Linked DNA regions of Astyanax mexicanus. Each later gene encodes a partner of the first gene's protein in a complex. Links are inferred from orthologs where the notes say so. Each region holds a gene or a part of one and is shown in the gene's direction. Other genes may lie near its edges.

Region 1 (7,325 bases):
ACCCACTGTGTTTTAACACTGTATGTACAGCTCTGGAAAAACATAACACCGCTTAAAAATGATGAGTTTCTTTGATTTTACCAAATTAAAAACCTCTGGAATATAATCAAGAGGAAGATGGATGATCACAAGCCATCAAACCAAACTGAACTGCTTGAATTTTTGCACCAGGAGTGGCATAAAGTTATCCAAAAGCAGTGTGAAACACTGGTGGAGGAGAACATGCCAAGATGCATGAAAACTGTGATTAAAAACCAGGGTTATTCCAGCAAATATTGATTTCTGAACTCTTGTTTATTGCATTATTTGAGGTCTGAAAGCTCTGCATCTTTTTTATTATTTCAGCTATTTGTAATTTTCTGCATTTTCTTGTTCAAGGTTTATAGAATAAAACAAATGTTAATTTTACTCAAATATTTACCTATAAATAGCAAAATTAGATAAACTGATTCATGAAATGAAGTGGTCTTTTTTACAGAGCTGTATATAAATGAGCTTTCGTCTGATTGGTTCTGTATTTTGTTCTTGATTTAAAAAGCAGTGCTAGATTAAAATCTTAAACGTTTCAAAATAAATGGGAGGGTGTGGACTGCTCTATCAAATGTTCCGATTTTTGAGACATCAGAAAATAAATGAGTTAAAAAAAATAAATACTGTTTTGATAAGGTCCCTTTAAAAGGTTTATCTCACCTGGCACATGAAGCAAGTCCCCCAGCCTCCGGCCAAACTCATTAGCACACTCCACACACTCCTCCATGCTGGCGTTCTGTACCGGGATAAAAGGACACACGTCCATGGCCCCTGTCCGAGGATGCTCACCTGCACATTCAAACATGGACAGATTTCTAAAAGGTTACATATCATAACAGACATGATTCATTTTTACACAATATGTTTTTTATCTCACTTTAACCCTTGCCATTGCACAGGCTTACTTGTTTTATTATTGTTATAATAACTCCATATCTTAATGAAGATCAAATGTTCAGATTATTAAATGTTTTTAAAGACATAGGTTTTATTGGGTGTCCCAATTTGGCTCTGCTCTGATTGGTTACTATGCACTGCATTGTGCCTTGTTTTGAAACCACTCCAAAAGGGCCAAAGCTCACTTAAAATAAAAAATTTGATGCATTTAATCACAGAATGGTTTTTATTTTGCCTCAGTCTATTTTGAATTAGCTTTGGTCATAAGATGGCAGCAGTACTGGCATTCATTGCATGATACAGCTTTAACATGCATTTTTAGACTGTCTGCCTTGTCCCTTGGGTACAGGGATTTATCCAAATACTCTGAAACTTTTGGTTATATTTTGATATTATGGTGAAGATGATCTGATATCTGTCCATCTTTACTTAACCAAAAGAGACTATATAAAATGCCTTTTTTATACCCAGCCCTGTAAGTTACAGTAGTTGCAAATTGCTCCTAATGCAGATGTTTTTTATTAGTACCATTAGCACCACTTTCTGCTTTTTGATGTGCTGCCCAAACTTTTTTGAGATGTGTTTCTGAAATCAAACTCTAAATGAGTTCATGTATTTCATTAAATCGTAAGTGTCATACTTTCAGTGTCTTAAAATGTGTTCTGTGTTCTATTGTGAATAAAATATGGTTAAAATAGATTTGAAAATAATTACATTCTGTTTTTATTTACAATTGTTTTTATATTTTACACAATGTCCCAGCTTTAGTGAAAGCACTATTATTTGCATGGTGATTTCTAATAAAGATGTGAGTGTTAACTGTACCTGTGTGTTTGCTCATGTCAATGATGGTGAAGGCGGTTCGAGCAGCGTTCAGGGCTCCCTCCACCACAGCCTGTGGGGGGCCCACGAATGTGTAGACCGTCCTGTTGGTGGACGAGCCGGGGTCCACGTCCAGCAGACTGCAGCCCTCAGTGGCCGAGATGGCATCAGCTATGGCATTGATTACCTGGTAAAGAGAATTAATAAAGTTAGTATGGGTTCTCCTGGTCTGTGACAGTCAATAATGGTCAGAATCTGCTTTTACCTCCTTATTTCGTCCCTCTGAGAAGTTCGGCACACACTCGATTAGCTTAGCCATGGCTGTGAGAGGTAAGACACACAGACTGAAGCGGCTCCACCACTGGGTCCTCGACGGATCTATAGAGAGTTAAGTTAGTGCTCCTCTAGAATGATTAACCCGCCCCACTGGGCCTTATCTGGGTCAGCAGCCAATGATTGGCCTGTCACTTCAGATAACACACAAGTCTGTCATATTCACTCAGTCACAGACATTCACTATATTGCCAAAAGTATTCGCCATCCTAATCCAAATCATTAATCTCAGGTCAAGCCTTGCATCACCAAAACTCAATTGCCACCATAAAATAAACACCAACATTGGGCTTTCACATATTGGCCTCTTTATTAAAAACATCCTCCTTCTGTTTCATTTTACTAATAATACGCTTTCAGAATCTATTTCTTAGCTATCTTTGCCTCATTGTATTTTCCAGTAAATTGTCTCCTATGACCTTTCAGCACTTAGCATTAGCTAGCCTTGTAGCTTATGTGCAAAATGTAAAAAAATTCTAATTTTAGACACCAAACATGTCTTGTCTGCTTGGCTACAATGGGGTAAACAATGTTACATGCCAGTTGTACACATGAACCACTCACTGTGTACAAAACTGTTAACGGACCTTCTGGACCTACTGGTCAAACACATCAAGAGATGAAGCCAAGTTTAATATTTGGCCCAAGAGTTTCATAACATCCCAAAAGCAAACAGAAGGTGGCTAGGTTGCAGTAAATAATTGATTCATCAGAGAACCAAAACCTGGTAGGGGGTGTAGCAAACAGAAAACAGCTACAAAACATCTGATCAAATGGGTCCATTTTTGGATACATGTCTGATTAAGGCAATAATATTGAAAATGAAAGCTAGCATCTCCATACCAATTTCATCAACAATGCACTTGTAATATTATAGTAATAATAGATGGTCAGATATCAAAAGTCTACATTTTCCTAGTTTTTCACAGATTGGTGAACCGCTGTCTATCTTTACTTCTTTTACTGCCTATCTAAAATTCACTTTTTATACCCAGCTCTGTGAGTTAGTTGCAAATTGCTCCTATTTTAGCTGTTTTTATTAGTACCTCTAACTTTTTCTGGCTTTTGATGCCCTGTCCCAACTTTTTGAAGTTTCTTTGCTGCCATCACACACTAAATAAGTTAGTATTTTTCTTGAAATGGTAAATTGTCTTACTTTCAACATCTGAAATGTGTGCTTTGTTTTACTGTGAATTAAATGTGGTTCTGTTAGATTTGCACATTTTTTGCATTCTGTATTTTTTACACAACGTTGTGTAATATTCAAACTTAGACCATCCGATACCAGCTACCAGCAAAAGCTGGTGTCGAGCTGGTATTTTAAAGGAGAACTCTGATGTGAAATGGGGTGTTGGGGTGTTGTGAAACATTGTTTGTGAGTACAAAACTTTGGTCAAATAGTCCACGTCCGAAATGCAGCAACAGGCGTACGATGGAAGCAATAGCAGTATTCATGCAAATAAATCTCTATTTTTACACCATTAACAAGCTCAAAGCAGATTGGTAGAATTCTATGAGCCCTGACAGTGTTAAAATTGAGATTTCTTTACACGGACAACTCTATGCCCCTATCACTAGCATTGTAAGCCTGTTGACATAATTTGTACTTATCATGTTTCACTTGGGTTACAACCCAAGTCCATTCTCCACAGGATTACACAGGATTCTCCTTTAAGCAGAAAAAAAATAAGAGGAAAATTATGAGGAAAAATGATTATCCAAAAGCAGTGTGTAAGACTGGTGGAGGAGAACATGCTAAGATGCATGAAAACTGTAATTAAAAACCAGGGTTATTCCACCAAATATTGATTTCTGAACTCGTAAAACTTTATGAATATAAACTTGTTTTCTTTGCATTATTTGTGGTCTGAAAATTTTGCAACATTTTTGTTATTTTATCCGTTTCTCATTTTCTGCATCTAAATGACAAAATTTTTATTTGGAATTTTGGAGAAATATTGTCCGTAGTTTATAGAATAAAACAACAATGTTAATTTTACTGAAACATATTCCTATAAATAGCAAATATACAATCTAGAATATGAATTGGTTTCCACTCATCATAAATCATCATACATTAATCTCAGTTTGCCTTTACATATCAGTAGAAATGTAAGTATCCACTGATATCCTATAGTATCTGGATCGGTATCTCGGTATCTCCACAGGGCTCCCTCTGCTGGATCTGGAGCTTCCTCAGACTGGATGTCTGAGTCTGCAGGCGTGAGTGTGGACGGTGGAGCAGACTGTGAATGTCTGATGTGAATTCTGAGGGATTTCTGTGTATTTTGGGCTGAAGAAGGATCTCCACGGCTGCCGAAAGACTGAACACAGCCCTTCCGAATATGCTGGCCACAGGAGCGGTAAGTTAAATGCGCGGTTCTGCTCTGATTTTAACTTTAATATTAACCTCCATTCATCAGCTAACCTAAAACTCACTGCGCGGCCTGCTAGCCGGAGCGGCTAATTGCGCTAAAGAGCTTCACAACTTCACTCTTATGTAGCTATATATTACAGAGATTCAGCCCCGTATCTAATTTATCTGCAGCCTTGAGCCTTTGTGAGATTTAAATTAATTAATTGAAATAATAAAAACTGGACGCCTTTTAAATTGGTCATTACGGTCGAATGCTAATGCTAACGAAGTAGCGTTGCCTGTTAGCCTGAGCTAGCTCGCTAGCTAGAACGGGTGTTGGACGTATTAACACTAGTTAGCTAAGCTATGCTAGCTATCTAGTTAGATGCAAATTATAGCGAATATTAGCTAATGTTTTTATTACAGATATTCACAAATCTCCGATGTTTATATCGTAATATTTCGTCCTGTAGCTGGCATTAGCTTCCTTAAAGTTTGAATGGCACGGTTGCTATCTAATGTTAGCTTAGCTATCTTAGCTAGTACGCTGGTTAAGTTAGCTGCTAACGCTAACTAGAAAGTTGTTTAGCTAGCAAATTTACAGTTCTTAGTTTAGCTAATAAACTCAAATTGAGTAAAACTGGTAAAGTAAAAAAAGTTAAAATGAAGAAGTAAGTTAAACTCAACTGGAATTAAGCTACGAAATAAGTGCTTATATAACAGTTAGCTATCTAAAATAATCCTTGGTTGATAGCAGTAGCTGAAGTTTGGCTAACGGTCGTGTCTGTGAGTTTGGGAAGAGTTGAGGCTGACAGTTTAAAGTTATTAATTATTAGTCTTATGATTTATAATTCGGTATATAAGCAGTAAATAGATCTGATAAAGTAGTCTTATTAAAACATTAGCAATAGCTTACACAAAGAAGTACAACTGAGTACTAATGTATTACTCCATTACAGTAAACATGCTAAAGGGTTTTACTTGTTCAATTGTGCCAGTTACCTGCGTAAGTAGAGCTGGGAGGTTAAGTAAATTAATTTGATTAAACTAAATACTGTTTTAATGCAATTTTTAAATGGGGTAATTGAGACTGTAAATTTAAATGTAACTGTTTACATGTAGGAGGTGCCAGAGGATATCTCAGTAGAACGATATTTGCTTCTTTTAGAAACTAGGGTTACTGTAAAACAGTGTCTCTCAAACTGTATTACGGCCATCCTAAGGTTGTAAAGCACTACAATCTATGAAGTTTCCAATATAGTTTTCCTAACATTACATTAGTTAGTTTTGATTGCTTTCCCAGTTAGAACCTGTGTGTGAGCTACATCTCAGTCATACACTCTCAGAGCAACAGTTTTAATAATAATATCACTTTCATTAGCCCTAGAGTACAACCCTGAGGAACACCACAAGATATGCTCTATCAAATATTCCGTCTGAGATGTTTCTGTAGGGTTACTGTAGTAACCAGAACCAATTATCTTAACAACTTACATATAAAGTCACACTCTTGACATATGTCATTATCCCTAAGGGGTAGAATCAAATGAGTTGATCAACTGAGGGTGTAGGTGATTTTACTACAGGTGGTCAGGCAGCATTGAGGTGATCATTTAAGCAATGGAAGGTGATTATATGCAATTCCAAATTGTTAGTCTAGCGAATAATTGCTGTTATTATTATTATTCTAATTATTACCATTAACCATGGTAATTATTAATTAATTTATTCTCATCATTCTTACCACTGATGATTATATCAGTACACCTGAGCACAACAACAGGCAGATGTGATGGTACAGTGACTTTATATGTGTAATTTTATAATTGGTAAATTTTGCCTTCTGCTTCCCCTGTGGAGGTTTTATATTTGTGTTTGATATTTTGTCCTGCTGCTGATGTGTGTAAAGCTGCTTTGTTGCAACATTAGTTGTAAACAGTGCTGTTTCAGTTTCACTTGCTACCTGGATATTATGAGATATTGTGAGGGATTTCTACTCACTGTATAAAATTGTATGGGATTTTTGTCTACTAGGTTTGGGTAATACTATTATGATGATGCTAAATAATGGAGCAATTCCAGTACTAATAATTTAAAAAAATCTTAAGAATTGATGGTCATAAGGAAACGCCTGATTAACATTTGTGCGTTTTTTATCCAAGGCTGTAAGCACGGCGCTGGCGCAGGTGGACCGTGAGAAGATCTATCAGTGGATCAATGAGCTCTCGAGCCCTGAGACGCGGGAGAATGCACTTCTTGAGCTCAGCAAGAAACGGGAATCGGTGACTGATCTGGCTCCAATGCTCTGGCACTCCTGTGGGACCATTGCTGCACTCCTTCAGGTAAAAACTAGAAACTTCATAAGTACAGCATAACCAAAAATTACACATTCCTACTATTATCTTTTTGATAACATAATATAAAGCAGTATTGTAACAGAGTCTCCCAACACAGTGTCTGATGAATGTTTTTTCATGTGTTTTTATTTTAACAGGAGATAGTGAACATCTACCCCTCCATTAACCCTCCCACGCTTACAGCCCATCAGTCCAACAGAGTGTGCAATGCCTTAGCACTTCTGCAATGTGTGGCCTCGCATGTGGAGACACGGTAAATGCTGCAAACCCACTCTGATTTACAATTAATACAGTTTGGAGACTAAATTGTCTGCATGTTCCTTAATTTAAACTTTTCTTTTATCCCTCCAGCTCTGCGTTCCTGGCAGCGCACATCCCTCTGTTTCTGTACCCTTTCCTACACACCGTTAGTAAAACGAGACCCTTTGAATACCTTCGCCTCACCAGCCTTGGAGTCATTGGTAGGTTAATTTTGCTTTACAACTGAGAACATCCACAGATACTGGGGTTGTGATTTAAGCAGAATCTTA
Region 2 (6,920 bases), on another chromosome or scaffold:
CTTACTTTTCTTAGTGTGTAGGCAGACCTAGTCAAAGAGGGTGGAGTTTCTGCCAGAGTGTCAGGCGCGAAGAACTGTCCGATTCGAAAGTTCTGAAACACACGTCGGTGACAACTGAAGGAGAACGGCGGCAGATATCCATCCAGATATTGCTAATAAACTCAGTAGGCCAAAAAGAACATGAGAAAAAGCAGATTTTAAATAATAATTTCAGTTGTTCGAGACAAAAAGGTCACTATTACTCTTCTACAATAATACAGCCATGTTGAAGTACTTTGAGTACATGCATGTATTTCCTGTCACAGCAATATGGTTTAAATCAAGACTTTAACTAGGCCACTATTGCAGGATTTTCTGGTAGACTAACAGAATTGTTTTGTTCTGTTAATTATGGCAATTCACCAAGGATACAGATCAAACTACCACCCCAATGTTTTGCATAATTAGAGATACAGTTCCTTATATGCTCTTGGTGATCTTGTGTGTGTTCAGCCACTTTTGAGATGATTCACAACTGTTTTTCAAGTTTTCTTAGTAAAACCTTTTCGAACAATATAATAATAATAAAAAAACTTCCAGTATTTCTGTTGATCCCTGTATCATGTGTTGTTTGTTGAGACATTTTATCTCCATATACGTAATTCAAATTACTGTGATTTATATTTATTACTGTAAATTATGTTTAAATTCAACAGAGGTGGCTTAAATGCATGAATTGTCTGATTGATTAACCTGTAAACATTTTTAGCTGTTCCCATTTAAAAATATTTTATGCCTTAGTCTTAAATTGAATTTAGTTTAAAGTTTCCAATAATTAAGCATGCATAACACGCAAAACAAAACAAGGAATCAGGAAATACCCTTTCCTGGCTCTGTAATAGTAGACTTGTATTGTCAGTGGATTAGACACACATGTAGGAACTAGGCAGAATTTAAACATGTCAGTGTTTACTTAAGATTATCACATAAAATTGAAAATGAAAATGAAAGTCTTGAGTGTGTGAACCCACACATCATTGCAGCAGAAGAGGCACAAAACATACAGTGATATGCATTAATGTACTCACTGTCATACATACAAATATTACACACTGCACTATTAACAGTCGAAACTGTAATACATTGTACATACAGCCTATTCAGTGAAATTAAAACCCTGAGTATATAGTATACTATAGACAATACAGAGATGGTCTGATGTCACCTGCAGTAAAACCAGAGATGTCACTCTACTGAAAGAAAGACATCAGTATTCAACTTGCTGTCATCACTCTGTAGCTGCCAGCCAGTTGGGCGTCTGTGTGGTTATTTGGCAGAGCGGAGAGCTTCTGTCAAGAGCTTATGATGTTGATGCTCTGCCAGCAGAATTGTACAATGAAGAAAGTGTGTACTAGTCTTTACACCATTGTTGTTGATAAATGGCTATGACTGAGTTCATATTTACAGAACTTACATAATGGAAACCTGAATTAAAAAAGTCTAGAGTTTGGAGAAGAAAAAAAAAAAACTCATACATTATCGATGAAAGTCAACTGCCAAATTCTACCATTATCAATGTCACATAATAAATGTTAATATAAATATTGAAATAAATATAATAAACTTTTTTTCCACATACAGTGACGTCTATATTGTTTGGGACATATTTTTGGGATTATAAAATCAAATGTATGGACTATCATTAAGAAGAAACAGTGCACTGCTCAGTTTTTATTCTTAAAGGGACTAGTAGGCCAAGGAAGAACTCCACTGATAAAATCTTTACTAATCTTCAGAAAAATCTTTAATTGTCTATCTGACAGGTCAAAAACAACCTTGAGGAGTTGGTTGTGTATTTGTCAGATACTATTTGTAGAAGGTTTCATGAACAAAATTACAAAGGTGGCCAATTTAAAGTTTGCAAAACCACTGTCTTAGAGACTTAACAGAGAAGATTCTCCGCATAAGTTATAGTCTGTAATATAAGTATAAGCATAAGTATAATAGTCTGTGAATTACAGACTACAGATAGTGATTGCATGCAGTGGATATAAAACATTATACTTAAAATGACTGTATCATACTTGTTATGGCTATGCGCCAAACATGATATGGTTATCTTAAATGATGGTGACTGTGTAAATGTATGCAAATACCCTTAAGCTGAAGTGTGGTATGACTACTATAATCACTTATGGTCGGTTTGATGTGATATTTATATTAAATTGGAGCAGAGGGCATGCTTATGCATATTTGATCACAGATGTTGCATCTGGGCCTGTAGATTCTGCCCACTCATCCACTGATGAAGTAAGTGCAAGAAACACATAATTGTTGAAAATCTGTTGATCAAACAGGCCAAGTGTTGCAACTGGCGAAGACATTTCTGGGAAAAACTTGCTGTGTGTGAGTGAGCATTGTCTTACTACTAGGTGTGACTGACTGTCACAGTTATACCCTCTTGTGGCAAGACTAACACTGAGTTCCATTTACCCGGGATATTCGGCTATTGTGAACGTTGGATTCTAAACTCAAGGTTGGCGAGGCTCCCCCAACTTTTTTGAGTAGGAAATCTGACCTGTAGGAGCGTTCAAGTTAAGATTTCCGGAAACTAGGAAAACTAGGAAATTCCAGCTTCCCAGTTCTAGGCATAAACATGATTTACAAATCTGTCTGAGACATAATTAAATGCCAAGTTTTCCAGCAATCCAGGGTGTTCATTTTTGTCAATCAGTTTACATACATAACATTTAAGGCACATGTACAGATGAATCTTAAAAAGGTTTTATTTGTTCAGTAAATACACATATAAATACACATATAAATATATAAATATAAATATATATAAATATAATATACAAATATAAATAAACATAAATAAATACATAAATAACATAACATAATTACATAACATAACATAATATCATAAATGTGCTTATTAAACATTTCTTTTGTTTTTTTGCACTTTCTTAAAAATGACAAGATATGGCTTCTATTTACTTTATTTCCTTCAAAAGGACAAATGATTTGTTACTATTTTATTTGTAAAAGGTACAAATAAACATAAATAACTCTTCTTTTATAACTTCTATTTATGTTTAATTGTACCTTTTACAAGCAAACTCTTATCGCAGAGATAAATGGCCTAAAAGCTATAACAAGTTTACATACATTTACATATAATTGTCTTTGGCTACTTTCATTTAATTTTTATTAAATAAGTATGGACAAAAATAAATAAAACATAAATACAATATATATCTATGTGTAAAATGATTTAAAACAAAGAAACAACATGAACAGGCCTCAGCTAAAAATAATTTAGTTAGAGGAACTAATACTGAAAATGTTATATAGTAACAACTGTAACTTATGTTTTGTTAGTTTAGGCCACTATGTCCAATATTCTTGCTATGAAAGACTAGTATAAATCAGTCAAACAGGGTATCTTGTGGGGGGAATACTGATGCTGGCCCAGGAAGTCAGGTTAACTAGAGATATGGAATAGCTCATTTAGTGCATTATAACGTTTATACAGAAGCTAAAATGTGAACAGTAATGTCGTGATTATAATTACTGAAGAACCTGAATATAGTAAAATAAGTGATAATTTAAGGCCCATAATAATAATAATAATAATAATAATATTAATGTAAAGCAGTGAGGGCTGCTGTAGAGGCCAGAGCAGGGTCAGGGGGTAAAGGCTGTTCACCCAGGATTCTCGGCTGCAGGATACACAGCCATCTTGGGTCTACGAGGAGAGGGGAAATTAATGCGGTTAGTGGATTTCTTCATTTATTAACAAAAAACACCACTCCGCGCGGCCCGCCTCGAACACAACACGAAAACAGAGCTGTAGCGTCGGAGGGTTTTCAACCTCGCATGTAGGTTGAGCTCGAACTCGCGGAGAGATGGCTTTACACGGACTCGTACGTCTCTGTGTTTTTGTCCGAGCTAGCTGCGTTAGCACCAGCCTGATACCTGAAGCTAAAGGGCTTAGATAGAGATGCGGGTTGGAGCGGAGCAGGAGGCGCAGTGGCCTAGCTAAACTACACCGCCTCCACCGAACACAGCCGGATAGACTTTGTTAAGCTAGCTCTAGCTTTATCTGTAGCTGTGTTACGAGCTAAAGGCTAGTGCTCCATCCGGTAAATAATTAAAAGAAACTGTTGTGCCGCGACTTGAAACGCGATCCACGGTCTAATCTGGAGTCTGGTTTAGCCTGCTGTGTTGTGGACGAAGCCGTGTTTTGTCAGTATCGTCAGCCGCTGTTCAGATGTTTTTTTTTTATTATGTAGACTGAGCAACTTTAGCTCGGTAGCTAACTAGCTTAGCTATCTACCTGCTGTTGGATTTGTAAGCTAGCTAGGTTTAGCTAGTTAGCTAACTAGCTAATAAGCTATCGGGTTGGTTGAATCCATAACCATCAATAGCTCCCAATGTAATTCTCTGACGCTAGTTAGCTTGTTCGTAACGCTATTTTAACCAACTAGGCAGGTTAGCTAGTTAGCTAACTAGCTAGCTTAAGAAGCTATCGTGTTGGTTGGATTCATATCCATCAATAGCTTCCCATTTAATTTTCTGACGTTAGTTAGCTAAGCCAACTAAGCTAACGAGCAGTCTGTTCATACCGCTATTTTAACTAGCAAGGTTAGCTAACCCTATATAACTAACGTTAATTCGTTAGCCCGGCTAGATAACTAACTTAGCTAGCGTTATTTAAGAATCCGGAGTAAAATATTGTGGATTTGTTTTTTGTTTTTTAACAAACTAATGTAGTTAGCTAATTCATTTTTGCAAACTTGAAAGCAATATCTAACGATACAACACCGTAAAAGAAAAAAATACGAGCTTCTGTCTGTACCGAAAGAGTTTGCCCAGCTAGTTAGCGTTAGCTAGCTTAGCTGGCTAACACGATTATAAGCCGTAGTCCAGAGTTAGATGTGTTCTGGATGTATACTGGGTAGCTTAGCTAGCGGTTAGCTCGTTACTGTGTTTAAAGCAGCAGGTCTCTGTGCTTTTAGCTTGATCCTTTTTAGGTTATATCGTTAACACGCGGATCGTCTAGCTAGTTAACCACTTTATAATGTATCACACACGTTTGCAGCTTAATATTAGCTAGCTATACATAAGTTATCTGTCAGTGCCAAACTGTCAAGGTAGCTATTAACAAGAGTAGCAAGTGTTAATGTAAACAATGGAAGTGATGAGCAGTGTAATTATTCTCATTGCTTTTGACTTTGTTTATTCTTTAGTGCCTGTTCGCTCTGAAGCTTGTTTTGTGTGATTTATTTGGACCTTTTTACTTTTTTCTTGTGTGGTCACATGGAACTCATGCGCTCAGATCTCTTTCACAACAGCCATAATAATCTTAACACTGGCAGAAAAGCTCTGAATGCTTTTATTGACAATATTGTGTAGCTTTGGGGCCTGTTTTACTGATCTGAGTTAAACTTGGTCCTGAGCAGGAAGTATTAAGAAGCTCTGGGTTTCACAGAGCTTTACAAGTTTACTCCCAGACTAATCTTTAAACAAAAAAAATATATTTTTGTTTAAAGATCCTGTATTTTTTTAAATAACTGAGTTAAATCATAAAATACATCTTATGTTAGTATGAGTTTTACAACTTAGTCCAGTAAAGGTTTAGTAAATGTAAAAAGCAAGTTTCTTGTTTTCTACTTAAAGTGGTCTCTAGAACATCTCTGATCAAATCCAGTTATTCTGGCTTTCCTTTTAACCTTCTAAAACTATTGTTTTTTCTCAGGTGACGAACGGAATGTTCAGTGCTACAAGAAAGAAGTTTGAGGGGGTCGAAAGCGACTACCCAGATGAGAGCATGTACTATGGTCAGCCTTCGATGTTTCCTCATCGAACAGAGAAAGATGTAAGAGCAAAAGTTACATGCCTTCAGTTGACAAGTTACAAAAAAAAATACAATTTGTGCAGCACAAATGTAGGAAAATGAAAGAGTTTGTAAATCTTGCAGATGCTGGCATCTCCCTCACCATCGTCGTCAGGTCAATTGTCGCAGCTTGGTGCAAGTTTGTATGGTCCACAAAGTGAGTACATTTCTCTAAATTTGCTTGTATTGTGTTGCAGTTTTTAAGACCACTCATTAAATATAAAAATGTTTTATATATGATTTTTCTGGTGTGATTCTTGTAGGTGCACTAGGCTTCTCAATAAGGGGCATGAACAACAACAACCCTCAGTTAAACCGGAGTTTAACACAAGGTACTCAGTTACCGAGCCATAACACCCCAACAACGGGCGTCCCAACGATGTCCCTCCATACCCCACCTTCGCCGAACAGGTAGGCCTATGACTTTGCCTGCTTTCAAAGTTTTATCCAACGTTTCCTGTTATGTTTCTTGTTTGTTCTCTGTGAACAGTGTGGGGATGCCCCATATACCTGATTTACATTCTCTTTTGATTTGCAGGGGAATTCTTCCCATGAATACCAGGAACATTATGAATCACTCGCAGGTGGGTCAGGGCATGAGCATGAGTGGCAGGACCAACAGTATGGGCAGTTCGGGCCTTGGCAGCCCCAACCGCAGCTCTCCCAGCATCATCTGCATGCCAAAGCAGCAACCAGCACGACAGCAACCTTTCACCATCAACAGGTACAATGTCTGTTCCTAACGGCATAACTCAAAGTCCAGGCTGGCATGTATTGGCACCTATGATAACTTAATGCATTTATTAAGGAGGCTGTTAATGATTTAAGTATTGCTGTGTATTAAAAAAAACTTGACACACTCAGTGAGCATATGTGCCTGGACCAGTGGGCTGCCATTCCTGTGGCAACTGGAGAGCAGTGAGGACTAAGGGCCTTTCTCAAAGGCCCAACAGTGTTAGCTTGCTGAAACCACAACCTTGTTATCGTTAGCTCTCTAACTGCTAAGCCACCACAACCTAAGTAGCCACAGTAGTGTGTG
Region 3 (7,133 bases), on another chromosome or scaffold:
TTTTGCTATTTATTTATTTTATTTAGGAATATGTTTGAGTAAATGAACATTGTTTTTTTTATTCTATAAACTTCTGACAACATTTCTCTCAAATTCCAAAATAAAAATATTGTCGTTTAGAGCATTTATTTGCCGAAAATATGAAATGGCTGAAATAACAAAAAAAAGCAGAGCTTTCAGACCTTTATATTTATATTCATTACGTTTTATTAAGAGTTCAGAAATCAGTATTTGGTGGAATAACCCTGGTTTTTAATCATAGTTATTATGCATCTTGGCATGTTCTCCTCCACCAGTCTTACACACTGCTTTTGGATAACTTTATGCCTTTACTCCTGGTGTAAAAATTCAAGCAGTTCAGTTTGGTTTGATGGCTTGTGATCATCCATCTTCCTCTTGATTATATTCCAGAGGTTTTAAGTTTTTACAGAGCTGTATTTAGTTATGGTAGTATATTCTTTACAATAATAATTGGACAACAGCAGTGAGGGTTTCAGTGCAGAGGTAACAGACCCCACACATATTTGGACTGCTGTCTCTGTTGCCATTATAATAAAAGGCTTGTGTCGCAACCACTCAGTATTTCTAAGGACATGACCAAACATATATTTTGTTATGGTAATATATTCTTAAAAATACTTATACATTTTTCAGAATTTTGCCATACCATATCATACCAAGAAAATTGTTCTCACAAAAATACACTAAAATATTGTAATATCATGTTATGGCCTTATCGTCCACCCCTAAAGGGAATTCAGTATTTTTTCTTAGGTTGCAGTGATTTGAAGCTTTTTGTTAAACGACTGAATTGTGTGTCTTGTTGCAGAAACTCGCTGCCCTGGGTAAAGAGCAGGTGAACGGTGTGTGTGTGAATAAGCATACAGTTAATCAGAGCCAGGCTCTCTGGGCTCAGCCAGCACACATAAGCCTGGCCAACACGCCTCAGGATTACAACGAAGGAATTTTAGGGAGCAGTCCTAAAGATTGGTCCCTCCAGCAGAAGGAGACTGAGAGCACGGGGCTCGGCCTGTTTGGAGTCACTCCAAAAACCTCAGACCCCGACAACAGCGATCAGGAGTCCGGAGTGGCCGACTTCAGCGGTCACTCCTCCAGCGGCGGGGATTCATTTCCGAGTGAAGACAGTGTAAAGGACGCTGATTTAGATGAAGCTGCTTTTAATACTGTCTAAAAACGTGATCTATAATAAATGAAAGCCATAGCATTCCCATTGGGGCCTGTGCAATCATGCTACATACTACATGCTCCATTTCAAATGCATAAACATGCATAATCAAATGTATTTATTGTTGCCGGTGTAACAAAGGGAAGTGTTGATTTATTTATTACAATATTTATGACATTATTTCATTTTGTATGTGCATGAAATGATTTGCAGTTGTAAACCCGCATGTCACAGCGTAGCAACATGCATTTTAGTGATGTGTGACACAGATGTGTGATATGTGTGGCAGTGTAAACAGAAAAAACACACTGAATCTGATATTATTATTTCCAAGATCAGAATTCATGCAATTTTTACATAAAGGAAAAGGAAAAAAGAGCTGTGAGGACAAAGGAAAATGGACAACAGCATTGAGTAAGGGGTTTCAGTTGTGAGGACAAGACCTCACAAAAGTTTGGACTGATGTCTCTGTTCCCATAATACTAAACACGTGTCACAACCTCCCAGTCTTTCAAAGGACATTCCCAATGAGCCAAAGAGTTTCAATGGTTCTTTAAGTGAACATTCCCTAGTTAGAAAGAACAGCACAAGTACAATTATGTCAGTCTGCAACTGTGCTGTGTTGGTGAATCTGTGCTCACTGCAGCCTCAGCTTTCTGTTCTTGGCTGACAAAAGTGGAAATATTTTTCGTTTTACAGAATGGTTATCTGGGTTATTCTTAATAACTCAATAACTGGCAAAGTAATATCGAATGGGTGCATTAATTGACAAAGTGGCGAACAACAAATTGAGTTAAAATTTTCCGTATGCAAATTAATTTCAACAAGATAAAGCGATATTCACAATAGCCTGACAATTTTTTTCATAAGCCCTATCCAGACGGGATTCGTTTTTCAGGGGGTCCTGGGGTAATTTTCTCTTTTGATTTTTTTCTCTGTGATTTTTTCCCCCCGGAATGACTGTATGTGGTTTTCTCAGACGTCCTCTGATACAATTACAGTCAGAATTACCTGTTTTTGCTGAACTCCGGTAATTTTAGTCCCGTCCGGATGCACATCTCTGAGTTTCGTCACCTCTCATTTAATAAACTAGTTGAGTATAAGTGTGAAATATTTTTTCACAGATGTCCCCTGAGAAGCGAATCCCGTCCAGATAGGTCTATACATGCTCTTCTATCTGAACATTTGGTTCTGACCAGCATTTCATTCTTATTTTTTTACAATGTTTTTCTGAACAGGAAAGAAAATCATAGTTGTTTCTCATTTCCCCTTGTTATGATGCAAATCTGCACATTTACAGGGACAGTCTGAAGAAAAATAAAATAAAGCGAGAGAGAAATTAGCAGATACTGTTGGTTTCTCTGGTTGGTTGGTCAGTTGATACGTAGCTTGCTAGATTAGCCAGCATGTTAACAAACTATACTAACACCTGTTAACACCCACACACAACAACACAAGCTGCCTCAAACACACCCAAAAGAGACCAACTTGGGGCAGCGTGAGCGACTTGTTCTTTGCCAGTGTGAATACAGGATTATGGTAGCCAGGGTTATGGTAGCCTTTCTGTCGTCTTGAACCATCTTGAACCAGCATTCTCTGTTGACCTCTCTCATCAGTTTTTTTTTTTTTTTTCTCACAGCTCATAATCTATGATCATAGGCCAAAGATGCTTCACTTCACACCATAACAACCTACAGTCTGAACACACACTATAAAAGTATTACTGAGAACAAAAGAATAATAAATAATAAAGACAATATATGAGCAGCATATTATAAAGCACACTAGATGGTCATTGTGGAAACTGCTGGAACTTATCTTCACACTGGTTTATTCAGATGATGTTGGGCATTAATTCTCTCATATACAGTAATTGAAAATATGCATGAAAAAATGCAGTGTAAGCATTATATACATTTCCCTGTGGATGCTGAGAGGTAACTCTCTGTTCTCACACTTACATTACTAGTGCAATTGTACCTAAACAATAAATAAAAATAAATAAAGTTTACATGTGACCTCACCCTCTTTGGTTAGGCATTTGTTTATTTCTATTATATATATATTGGGAAACTGCAAACATATACACTACCAGTCAAAAGTTTTAGAACACCCCCATATTTTCCCTGTATTTTTGCCATTTAAACTGGCAGGGCCTTTAAGAAAAACAAATTAACAAATATACATATAAATATATATATATTGCAAAAGCATATTTTTAAAAAAAAATTTACCAGACAATTGATTGGTTAACAGCTCACAGCTCTTATTAACTGAGCTTTGAAAATGTCAATTTAGAAATCCTTTGTCTGTAGTAAAGTCATTATTTTGAGATACTATGTCATTATGTTTAAATACTACGTTGTAATTATGAGCTGCTACCTTTTTATTTTGAGAAACTAAGTCATTACTTTGAGATACTAGCATATTTTCATATAAACACGTAGTATCTCTTAATTGTGACTTAATATTTTAAAATAAAAACATAGAATGTTAAAATAAAGACTTAATATCTGAAAATAATGACTTAATAATTCAAAATAATGACTTAGGATCAAACATTATAAACATGATGTCACCTTAGGGGCTCCGTACCTTTTTCGCAGCCCCTGATGTATGGAAGCCCATTCCCGCCACCTAAACAAATGGGCTTCCACACTGATGTGATGTGACATTATGTAAAAAATATATATATATTAAAAAAAATAAAATAAAATGTGTGGCCCTAAGAGGTGGCCATGGCTTCTTACAGAGTGGGAACAGAATAATTAAGTCCTGGCAATATCCTCTCCAGGCACTCCCTTAATTAACTAGGGTTGTAGCCACGCAATAGGATCTCGTTCTAACGCTTTAATAAGACGTGGCCACGCATTATTATTATATATATATTTTTCCATCCTAAAGCTGCTGCACCGTTTTATACCCCTGTTTGAAGCCGCGCCGCTGCTGGACTGACTCCAGACTCCGTGACGCTCCAAGGTCAGTGGCGCTCGTATCCCGGTGTCGTCACGCGGTGCGCGGCGGCGGCGGCGGCGGGTTGTAATGGAGCCCGAGGGGCGGCAGCTGGCTGCTGATGTCGGGGTTAGATTAATAAACTGTGTGGCGGGTTTGGTGGAGCTGAGACCCCAGTGTTGGTGAGAGTGTGAGCGGGACAGCCGCGTGCTGCTGAAGCAGCCAGTGCATATGAGTGTACTATAATAGAGGAGAGAGAGAAAGAGAGAGGGAGAGAGGGAGGTAAGTAAGTGACTGAGAGAGAGAGAGAGAGAGAGAGAGAGAGAGAGAGAGAGAGAGAGAGAGAGAGAGAGAGAGAGAGAGAGAGAGAGAGAGAGGGGGAGAGCTGGAGAAGACCTGCAGCACAAAGTTAAGGGGCTACAGCTAGTTAGCTAGCTGCTGTGTGGGGCTAACAGCTCCTATTAGGATTCGCTAGCATGCAGGAGGGAGCCTCGTTAGCTTAGTTTAGCTTAGCAAGCCGGTGTCTAACGTGACAGATATAATATACCAACACCAGGCTGTCCTGCTGCACAGCTTTCTGACTGGCAGGCAGGTGTCAGGTTCTGTCGGCTGTTTGTTTGTGGGTGTAGTTTGGTGTGGCAGCTAGCCTAGCCTAGCCTGTGGCTGTTAGCTTAGCTAGGTTAGCTGCCTTTAGGTAACAGTTAGTCACCTGGTTTGTTTGGGGGCGGTAGCTTATCTTTGTGTTAACTAGCTGTTTAAATATGTGTTTGTTAGCTCACTAGCTTTTTGGTAGCTTTGTTCTGTGGTCATAATAATCTGGTTTAGGTTGATATGAGGTAGATAAATTAAGCTACAAGGTAAGTTAGCTAACTAGTTAGTTAACTAGCTAGATAACTATTTAACTGGTTAGTTTTTCGTTTGTTAAATGACTAACTAGTTAGTTAATCTAACTATTTGACTATTAACCTAACTCATTTTTAGTAGCTAGGCTTTTATTATTAGCTAGCTGTTTAAACCTATATAAGTTAGCTGTTTAAGTAACTTATGTGTATGTTAGATGGCTAGATTAGATAGCCTTGTTTTGTGTTAGTTAGCAAACAAAAGTAACTGCTTTCTGGTTAGACAACACAGACCATAATGATCTGATTTTAGGTTGGTCCGAGGTAGATAGATTCAGCTGCAAGGTTAACTTAAATTGTCAGCTAGTTAATTAACTAGTTGGTTACTAAACTACCTAGCAGGTAAGCCATACCATACTTGGCTAACCAACCTAGTAAACTTAATTCTTATTTAAGTTGCAGTAAAGTAGGGCTAGGCGATTTGATAAACACATTACTTTAGTTATGTCACTGTATTTACAAATAAGCCCTTTTTTCAATACACAATATTTATCTTGATATAATCACATAATCCCAGTAAAAATTTGGGATGCACCAATATGGGAACTTTGGGTAACTAAGCTTTGTGTTTAGATCCAATTATTAGCTAGCTGTTTAAATGAGGTACTAGATTCATTAGCCAGGTACTAGGTTCAGATGAGGTCATGGTATGGCTTACGTGCTAGCTAGTTAGGTTAATTTACTAGCTAGTTATTTAGCAAAGAAAAATAACTGCTTTCTTGCTATGGTATGAAGTAGATAAATTCAGCTGCAAGTTAGTTACCTAACTAACAGACTTACTAACTACATAACTAGCTAATTAACTAGTTAGTTAACCTAAATGACTAGGTAGTTAGTTGACTATACAGTTAACTAACTAACTCGTTAACTAGTTTATAACCCTAAATGACTAGCTAGTTAATTGACTACATGGTTAGCTAACTAACTTACCAACTAGTTAGTTAACCTAAGGGCACTAAAGGGCACCCAGGTCATTTGTTGTGTCGCATTCTGTGCTATAAATGTGAATGGACAGATAGAGTATTCCGCTCACTATTTCTTTTGACTGAAGGTTGTATCTAGCATATTGTAAGTTAGCATTCAGTGTCACACTTTTGCTCATTTTCTAAAAGTCTAATATATGTCCTCCTTTTTTGCACAGGTGTAAATAAAGAATTAGACCCAAAATTCTACGAAATTGTCCCCAAGGGAGCATTTGTTTCATTTTTTGATGCCTTCCATTTGAAAGTGGCACTATGCCCGCAGCCACTGTGGATCATAGCCAAAGAATATGTGAGGTGTGGGCTAGTAACCTGGATGAGGAGCTGAAGAGGATTCGGCAGGTCATCCGAAAATACAGTTACATTGCAATGGTGAGCCTTGTTTTGTTTCGCCATATACCATTTACTTAAAATCTGCAGTGTTTCAGTTAATCTGATTTGTTAATTTTCTGTGTTTGTAGGACACAGAGTTTCCAGGTGTAGTTGCGAGGCCGATTGGAGAGTTTAGAAGCAATGCAGACTATCAGTACCAGTTACTGCGGTGTAACGTTGATTTGTTAAAGATTATCCAGCTTGGCCTTACCTTTATGAATGAACAAGGGGAGTATCCCCCAGGAACTTCAACATGGCAGTTTAACTTCAAATTTAACCTCACGTAAGTGCAGTATTTCTTGTGTGAATATACTACACTTTAATTCAATGTCTTGTCATATTGCCAAGAGTATTGGTATTGTGAAAATACCCTACCAATATCATGATAATATTGAGGTAAAGATGTGAACAGAAAAAGTGTAAAACAAACTGAAATATGGTTTATACTTTAGATTCTTCAAAGTAACACTTTTTGCTTTGATGCATGCTTTCCCCACTCTTGGCATTATTCTCTCAGTCAGCTTCATGAGGTAGAGCCTTGAATGGTTCTCCAACTGTCTTAAAGGAGTTGCTAGAGGTGCTGAGCTCTTGATAACTGCTTTTTACTTCCCTCTGTGCTCCAACTCGTCCCAAACCACTTGGGTAGTATATCTGGTTCTTATATCAGGTGTTTGAGAAGGATGAACACTTTTGTTTTGTCTAGTAATAGTTATTAATCATAAATATTAATCTACAATGAAGTAA

Evidence for each region. Proteins that work in one complex are often made in the same cells at the same time.
Region 2: cnot9 (region 1) and cnot2 share a complex: the UniProt entries of both Homo sapiens proteins name them as parts of the CCR4-NOT complex. The link is inferred for Astyanax mexicanus from reciprocal best matches to the Homo sapiens genes CNOT9 and CNOT2.
Region 3: cnot9 (region 1) and cnot7 share a complex: the UniProt entries of both Homo sapiens proteins name them as parts of the CCR4-NOT complex. The link is inferred for Astyanax mexicanus from reciprocal best matches to the Homo sapiens genes CNOT9 and CNOT7.

What each region holds. Positions count from the first base shown.
Region 1 is NC_064430.1:21,133,243-21,140,567, forward strand, and holds the start of cnot9 (CCR4-NOT transcription complex subunit 9), read left to right. Parts: upstream 1-4,261; 5' UTR 4,262-4,427; coding exon 4,428-4,445; intron 4,446-6,600; coding exon 6,601-6,780; intron 6,781-6,932; coding exon 6,933-7,048; intron 7,049-7,146; coding exon 7,147-7,256; intron 7,257-7,325. Other genes in the region: ftcd (formimidoyltransferase-cyclodeaminase), read right to left, coding at 691-819, 1,753-1,936, 2,015-2,068. UniProt on the Homo sapiens protein: Component of the CCR4-NOT complex which is one of the major cellular mRNA deadenylases and is linked to various cellular processes including bulk mRNA degradation, miRNA-mediated repression, translational repression during translational initiation and general transcription regulation.
Region 2 is NC_064409.1:54,388,610-54,395,529, reverse strand, and holds the start of cnot2 (CCR4-NOT transcription complex subunit 2), read left to right. Parts: upstream 1-3,875; 5' UTR 3,876-3,890; coding exon 3,891-3,908; intron 3,909-5,743; coding exon 5,744-5,863; intron 5,864-5,965; coding exon 5,966-6,038; intron 6,039-6,144; coding exon 6,145-6,292; intron 6,293-6,419; coding exon 6,420-6,605; intron 6,606-6,920. UniProt on the Homo sapiens protein: Component of the CCR4-NOT complex which is one of the major cellular mRNA deadenylases and is linked to various cellular processes including bulk mRNA degradation, miRNA-mediated repression, translational repression during translational initiation and general transcription regulation.
Region 3 is NC_064417.1:45,486,825-45,493,957, forward strand, and holds the start of cnot7 (CCR4-NOT transcription complex subunit 7), read left to right. Parts: upstream 1-4,088; 5' UTR 4,089-4,165; intron 4,166-4,196; exon of another isoform or gene 4,197-4,420; intron 4,421-4,733; exon of another isoform or gene 4,734-4,995; intron 4,996-5,022; exon of another isoform or gene 5,023-6,178; 5' UTR 6,179-6,272; coding exon 6,273-6,389; intron 6,390-6,478; coding exon 6,479-6,672; intron 6,673-7,133. Other genes in the region: mtmr7a (myotubularin-related protein 7a), read left to right, coding at 830-1,192. UniProt on the Homo sapiens protein: Has 3'-5' poly(A) exoribonuclease activity for synthetic poly(A) RNA substrate. Its function seems to be partially redundant with that of CNOT8.